Drosophila melanogaster: one gene and its partner. The protein of the gene in region 2 interacts with the protein of the main gene of each other region in a pairwise test. Each region holds a gene or a part of one and is shown on either strand. Other genes may lie near its edges.

Region 1 (5,158 bases), 3.1 Mb from region 2:
GATGTATTGGATTGTAGTTGATATTGTATGCTCACATATATAAGTGTATATAGAGGCTTTGGCGATGCGTTGGCCAGCGTATGTAAGTGCCGATGACGTGATGATCAGCGATAGATTCCACGTCAGCGCGGCAGTACGGTACACTTGCACTCTTTTTTTTTTATAAAAACTTATGACGTTTGGCAGAGTATGGACATACCGATGGCGTGGTGATCAGCGATAGATTCCACGTCAGCGCAGCAGTACGGTACACTTGCACTTTTTTTATAAAAATTATGACGTTTGGCAGAGTATGGACATACCGATGGCGTGATGATCAGCGATAGATTCCACGTCAGCGCGGCAGTACGGTACACTTGCACTTTTTTATAAAAATTATGACGTTTGGCAGAGTATGGACATACCGATGGCGTGATGATCAGCGATAGATTCCACGTCAGCGCGGCAGTACGGTACACTTGCACTTTTTTATAAAAATTATGACGTTCGGCAGAGTATGGACATACCGATGGCGTGATGATCAGCGATAGATTCCACGTCAGTGCGGCAGTACGGTACACTTGCACTTTTTTAAAAAAATTATGACGTTCGGCAGAGTATGGACATACCGATGGCGTGATGATCAGCGATAGATTCCACGTCAGCGCGGCAGTACGGTACACTTGCACTTTTTTTTTGTATATTTATTTATTTTACATTTTTCCTCTCTCTTTTTTTTTCCTGTGTTTGAATATATGTTTGAGTTTCATTTGGTACTTCACAACTTCAATTTTGTTTTATAAAAATTTGTTCCTAGTCACTTTCAGTCGACATCTTGCATATAGTTTGTTTCGTTTCTTACATGTTTACTTACAGGTAGGTAATTATTAATAGGTAGGACATCCTACCGGCTGCGCCAGTTAAGTCCGTGATCGAGGGTGGAGCCTTTTGTGAAGATATGATGTGTAAATGTATGAAGGTTTTTAAGTTTCAGCAGATAGTTGTAGTGTGAAGATTTCCAATAAAGAATACGACTGACTTTCTTGAAGTTCAAAATCAGTATGAAGTTTATTGTCAGAGAGTGGCTACTCGAGTCCTCCGTTTTCGTCTTATACATAAGTACATAGGTTCTTAATTGTAAGCATAATGAACATGCCGACTCGGCATGTGGCTGGCTAGCTGGGGACAATGTTGCAGTGCGACTTTTGTGTAATGTCAGCATTCGGCCGGAATGTCAGCATTCGGCCGGATGCGGTGTTCCAGTTGCCGTCTTCCCGGTTGAGTGTCCGATGATTTGTTTAGAGGCGTGGGGGTTTAGGGGGTGGGGTGGTAACTCGCGCTCTCTTTTCTCCACATTTGGGGCCAAAGCTGACGATCCGCATATCAGCTCTACATATATATTTTGTTGTCTTTTATTTATTTTTTCTTTTTGCCTTCGCCCGTGTTGTTGCTTGTTTATATTTATATATCGGATGGGGCTAATATTTTTTCCAATTTTTTACTGCTTTGTTTGTTGCTGTAATGCGGAACGCGCGCGCTCGAGCAAAAATGATAAATCTACGATTATGGGCGTCATGGGGTGTCATGAATGGAGCGGCCCCCCCGAAACACGCGCAAGAGTTACCTATCAGAGATATAGATATGCTCGGTACCTGTTTAATGTCCACGACTGCCTAAAGCAATTTCCGGTTGGAAATACGCCCAGAATAAATGGGTTCAATAGTGCCAATGAACCGAAGATAATAATAATACCCAGAACTTAAGCTCATTTCGTTGCACTGTTTCTCACTGACTTGAAGTAATCGTAGTTAGGCAAATACAAAGTCTTCAGAGTGAGTAAAAAAAATAAATAAACAAACAGCTGTCGATTGTGGATCACAGCTTGAGCTTGATTCACTTTAGCTGAGCCATCGCTTCTTTTAGTACGCCGTAAAAACCAGCTGCAAAAGTGGCCCAGAAAAATCTCCCTACTTTTCTCTTCTTTCAAATCGCAGACAAAGCTCTATGATTACTTTGTGCTTATTTCAAGAATATTTCACACGATTTGACCGAACTCTTAATGGCTGATGTAAAACCAAAACATATTTACGTAAAGGAAGGAAGTACTTTTTTATCTTAGTTCTTGGAATTCGACAGCACAGAAACAAATAAAGGGCTAACACATCAACATGTTAAAGTTTTGTTTTCTTTAAGTTACACTTTGTTTCCCTTGCGAAAATTGAGTGCGTCTGGCAATATATGTAAACATTGAAAGTCCCTGAAGCCCAAAACATTATTCGAACTTTATGCTTTATATTTCCCGCGAGTATTTGAGGTATATAATAAAACAGTCGCAGAGAGCATTTATTTTTTTTTTAATTTTAATAGTAAGCCGTATTTAAATCTGGTTAACATAAGTTTGTTTCGTAATTTGTAAATTACTTTAAGTACGAGCTTTAAAGGTCACAGTTAGTGAGCTTAAGAAATCAATATTGCGCATACGCCATGTGGCCCGCCGAAATGCAGATGCAAGCGCAGCACAAGGAAGCCCAAATGCCAAAGGACACGCCATGAGTCATGTGATAAGGCCCACGGATCCTGACCTAAATTCGTCCTTCAGAAGGTGAGGCACGAAGCTTGAAAAAATCTCGCCTATACGGGGAAAGGAAATTCAGGGGGGATGCAAAAAAAAAAATACAGAGAACAGGAGGACAACCTCTCTAGTTGGCAGGAGAGCTTTCAGCATCGGAAGTCGGCTGTCAAGTGCAATTTTGTGTTTTTTTTTTTTTTTTTGGCTTTGTATTATTATTTAGCACCGCACGTGTGGCACACAAATGCTGATGCTAATGCCGGGAGATTTATGGCAAACCTTTTCGCGAGACCTGCCGACTTACCCAGACGCTGCGGGAATGATGTTGATGTCGTGTTTCTTCCGCTCTAGATACCCTTAATTTAATGCACCCTCATTGGGAATAATGAACATTATCTTTTCTTCTTATTTTCTGTATTTTTTCGTATTTGTTTTCACACGCTTTTAATCTATTCTAGGTAAGGGAACGTGTGTGTGCAAATTCGCAGACGCCAATGGCAACACGCGCGCCAAACAAAACTTTCGCTTTCGTTGCGCGTGTGGCCGTCACACCACTACACACAGCTACACTCACTCACACGCACACACACACACACACACACAGTGGCACACACGCGCGCTGGCAAACAACAAACACGGATATGCGAATACTCGAGTGCGACTGCAAAATACGTAAACGCTCGTGTTCAGCGCGAAATACAAAGCTCTCGTAGCTTTTCCAGTTTTTTGACCAAACTGCGAGACGAACACCTCGACCGCCCAAAGCAGAATGAACGCGGTCCGACGAACGAGCGTCGTTTTAATAGTAGCTCAGCGGGCACTCACTGCGCACCCCACAAAAGTGGCCAAATGTGTTAGGAAATTATTAAAAAAAAAAAAAAAGAAAAATAAATTTATTTTTGGTTAGATCATATTTTTAATCAAACATATTAAATTCTTAAAACCATATTTAACATTAAATTAGTTCTAAGTTCTAAATTTAGCAAATTTAGCCGATAAGCAACGAAATAATAAGTTGACTTTACTCGCAGAGTAATCAACAAATTACTATAGCTGGCCTTATCTACAGAAAACGGTTCAAATCATTTATTTGCACACACTCATGCTCGAGCATCCACCAAAATAAAATTATTTATAGCATCAGTGAAAAACTGTTGACACACATTCGCATTCAAAAGTCGCCAACGCATCTCAATCAATCGAAAAATGTTGCCGCAACATTGTTGCCAGCAACACGCCCCGAAAATGGGGAATCCCAGGGGAGAGCTGCTTTGCGTTTGGTTCGGGTTTGTTTTGGTCGTGCCTTTCTGGTTGCCTAAATCCGGACCCTCGGGCCAGGCCATCACCTCCCACTTCCACCCCCCTCCCCGTCGCAATAGAAGGCAATTTTGTCGCACGTGTCGGAAATTTTGTTACGGCCGATTGCTTTTGCTTCCTCTCCCTCTGCGCGATGGCTGTGAGTTTCAATGAGTTGTGTTTGCGCTGACGGGTTGCTATATATATATACACAGAGTACGGGGGAGATTCTTAAACCATAAAAAATAGATATAAATAATATAAGAAGTGTTGTTTAAAATAATAAAAGATTCATTTATTTTTGTACAATTTTAAAACCCTAAATGAAAGCTCTGTACTAACGTTCGACATTGCGAGGTCTTGCTGTACAATATGCATATATTTTTTCTGCTCGAAGACCCACTGTCTTGACAGATACATTTTCCGAGCGACCTTTCGCGCTGTTTTCGTAATGAAAAGGCAATTCAATGGCCTTTGGCTGTTGCCGGCGCAGCCGCCTGCGACACTAACGGTAAACGGGGAACGATGGCTGACTTCCGGTTTGGCTTTAATCGTCTGCTGCTGTCGTAAATGGCAGCAAAATCCGAGCAGCGAACAATAAAAGAGAAATTAGCATAACACATGAGACAACGACAACGACGCTCGTTGGAGGCCCCCTTGCGGAACCGCTTCCCCCCGATTTTGCCATGTTCTTTATGTGTGATTTTAATGGGCTCGTGGGTGTCTGGGCCATGGTCGCTTTTCTATTTCAATTGCCGACACGTGTACGCCGCGTAAAACAAAAGGAACACGACCATAAAAGCATCACGCACATGTCTGGCCATTTGCATTTTTTCCGCCCTTAAATTTCTGCACCCAAAGTGCCATTTAATTGCCATGAAGTGTAGGGGCGTGGCCACTCTTTTGCGTCAATGCAAAAGTTCCATAAACGTGGTCGTTATTATGTGGGCTGTCCATCCTATCAAGACGCCCGTTAAATAAAAGTGCGTAATCAAATCTAACGAGTATAGCCCGAACAACACGAATAATTCAACTGATTAGAAATAGACGAAAATAAACTGTACCGAAATAGCCTAAACACAACCATCTTGCCGTTGACATATTTATTGTTTTATTTTTAATTGATAATGGCATTTTAAGTGACAAATTTTATTATCTGTCCTTTAGTATTAAAATAATTGTGCCTAATTACTCCAAAAATAGCTATGTCGTGATAAAAATAAACCACAATATTGCTGGCTAAACACTTCAAAAACCGCAGATTGTATTTCAATTCTGCGGTTAATGATCGTGCGGCGAACACATTTGTTTGTC
Region 2 (2,874 bases):
CCAATTGACCAACTACCATGCTACCCCACTACCATTACCATTACCATAATGTGCAATGTGCCAATTGGGCTCAAATTAAAAGTTTTATTAATTGTCAATTAAACGCTGTCGCCCAGCAGCTGCTTTGTGGCATAATTTTTGGGTCAATCTGCATATCTGATTAACAGGTTATACCGCTCAGTCTACTACATATACCATGCACCAGATGCCGCGGGGCACAGACAACAAGAAGTAAAAGAAAGGACCCCATATGGTGCCGACGGCTCAAGTGATTAAGTGCACGACGAGATCTTCAAATGCAGTGCAACATGTGCACAAATACAAAACACACACACACACACACACACACGCATATTGAAAATGTATGTAAATTCTAATTAAGATTGTGGATGAAGACCCCCAGCACCTTGATACTTCTGCTCAATGCGCATTGCGCATGCGCAGCCCCGCATCCGAAGATCCATAAAAATAGCTCACTAATTATTTGTGTGCTAGGGTTACAGTTCTCATAAAAAACAAACAAACTGTCGGGCGTTTTATGGATCTTCTGCCTCTATGGCCTCAATGCCCCCGCGAAGTTTTCGATCCCCATTCGATTCGAAACCGAAGAAGAGCTACGACCAATCACTTTTCAATTCCTATGAGCAGTTGAGCATCAATTGATTTCGATATGAAAATAAAATACATTTATTTATTATCACATTACGTATCACAGCCATTCGCCCGCCTACGCCCTGGCATCTGGATCGCCACATCCATCGTGCGGACCTTGTGCCGGCATTTCCGAGCTGATTAGCCTCCGAATCTCGACCAGAACCCGGTCCGTTCGAGCCTCCAGGTTGTCGAGGGCGGTGTTTAGGTCATCCAAGCTGGAATTGACTCTGGCCATCAGACGCTCCGAGTTGTTGGTCAGCTCGATGAGGTCATCGAAACTGCTGGCCTGGCGACTCTCCATCGATATCCTGTCCAGATCCAGCTGCAGCTGCTCATCGGCGCTGTCCATCTGGGCTTTAAGGGCTGGGAAAACAACTTTCGATTTAAATTTAAATTTTTTTCACCCTAAATCATGATTTTCGGTGTTATTTTGTGCCATGCGATCCGAAGTGTAAAGCAAATTTGACTTGGTTTGTTTTGCTATCGAACATAATTAAAGTTGCTTACCATAAACCAATTTAATTTAATTGTAATTGCAGCTAACTGGCTTTTGGGTACTTTTGCTTTTAACGCCAAATGTGAAATATTAAGTATATTTTATTTAAGCGATGGCACCTGTAAATTGAGATTTAAGGGGTATATTAAATGGGTGAACTTGATGATTTTTTTTTTTCATCAAACGTTTATTAAAGTCTATTGCTTAAAAAAATGAAAGTAAATTGCTTGCCATTTTAGGAGGATATTTTTGAAAAATCGTTACAACTTTTCAAATACAATAAATTAAATGTTTTGAAAAATATTTGCGCCCAGGGCACCAGAAAGTCCACTCTTCTTTTTCGACTATTGTTTGTTTTGCTTTGTTTGTAATTGGCGAGCTATTACAAGAGCTACACTCGTTCATTTCATTAAACCCATTTACAAAATGGCTTTGTCCATTATTTATACATATCAATTATAAATTTGTGCGCTGCGACTGCAATATTCATATTCACTTGTCAAAATGTCAACTCAAAATAGAATATTTATGAATTTTTATGTGTGCATATCGGTCCGTGATTTGTTTGTTTTACGCTCTCCTTTCGAGAACTCTTTGTTAGCATTCAGGATTGGGTTGAAGTAAATAATAAAAAAAATGCAGCAACCAGAAAAGAGGAGAAAATGACAATTCAGCCTATAAATACGCGGCGGCAACCGAAGTTGAAATCAATTTTTTTGGCCCCATACTGCGGTGGTCGCGTTCCCCCCCACCCCCGCACCAGTTTGGTACTGAAAATTGGAAGTGGGCTCCACCGAATGCGGTGCCACTATTTAGTTTAGCCGCAGAACAAGGTGCCTCAATTTATTTTTAATTGCATGCAAATTGAGCCAATCGGCCGGCTGATGGATGTGGTTGCTTGTCCAACGATGCGGTCTTTTTTTTCGGCTATTAAGAGGATGGACTGCTGCTCCTTTCTGTTTCATCTGCTGGCTTAGGCATTTTCACTTAATGAATTTTCATTCAAAGTGACTGCTGCAAGGATGTGTCGTCCTGGCTGTGAAGTGAACTTCCTGCCATTAACCGAACTGCTGCTGCTGCTGCTGCCAGCATGGTGGCCAAAAAGTATGCCTCTGTTGACGTTTTCTTTGTGGTTGGCTAAAATCTGTTATTATTGCCATTAAGCTGGCTTTTGTTGTCATCTCTCCGGCCTGCCTACATACGCATACACATACATCTATGTATGCATATGCATTTGTGCATTTACCCTGCCGATATCCTTCAGCTCGAGTGGTTGTGTGGATTTTCCTGGTCTTCCAGCGGGTTAACTTGGATCTGTTCTTGAGGTTGTTATCACTTGGTTATTGAATTTTCCGCACACACTTTACAAGCTCTAAATCTAAACGGCTCAACTTGTTGCCGCCGCCCAGTTTGAAAACGTTTTTGTTACTGCTCGTCGTCATTAGTTGAAAAGCGCTCTTAGTTTGCCTCGTTTGTTTGCCGAAAAGTCTCATTGTTGCCACGTCTTTGGGTCCGGCTTCTTCTGGTTCTGTTGTTGCTGCATAACGCAGCCTGTTGTTGTCATCAGGTTGCATTTGCGTTTTACACTGTTTTGCCCAAATAAAGGCATATAATTTATGTGTGTGGTAGTAGTCCTGGTCGTTGTGCCACGTTGAATGTCCTTACCGAGCTTATATCCGAGCGGAGAATACTAAGTGAGCTGCAGCTCCATTGTGGTCCATAAA

Evidence for each region.
Region 1: the proteins of CG13838 (region 2) and Cipc interact in a two-hybrid assay, tested with the Drosophila melanogaster proteins (2 studies listed by BioGRID).

Annotation. Positions count from the first base shown.
Region 1 is NT_033777.3:26,105,037-26,110,194, reverse strand, and holds the start of Cipc (clock interacting protein circadian), read right to left. Parts: upstream 3,328-5,158; 5' UTR 2,853-3,327; intron 2,611-2,852; 5' UTR 1,318-2,610; intron 1-1,317.
Region 2 is NT_033777.3:23,040,462-23,043,335, reverse strand, and holds CG13838 (uncharacterized protein), read right to left. Parts: upstream 1,096-2,874; 5' UTR 1,004-1,095; coding exon 728-1,003; 3' UTR 667-727; downstream 1-666.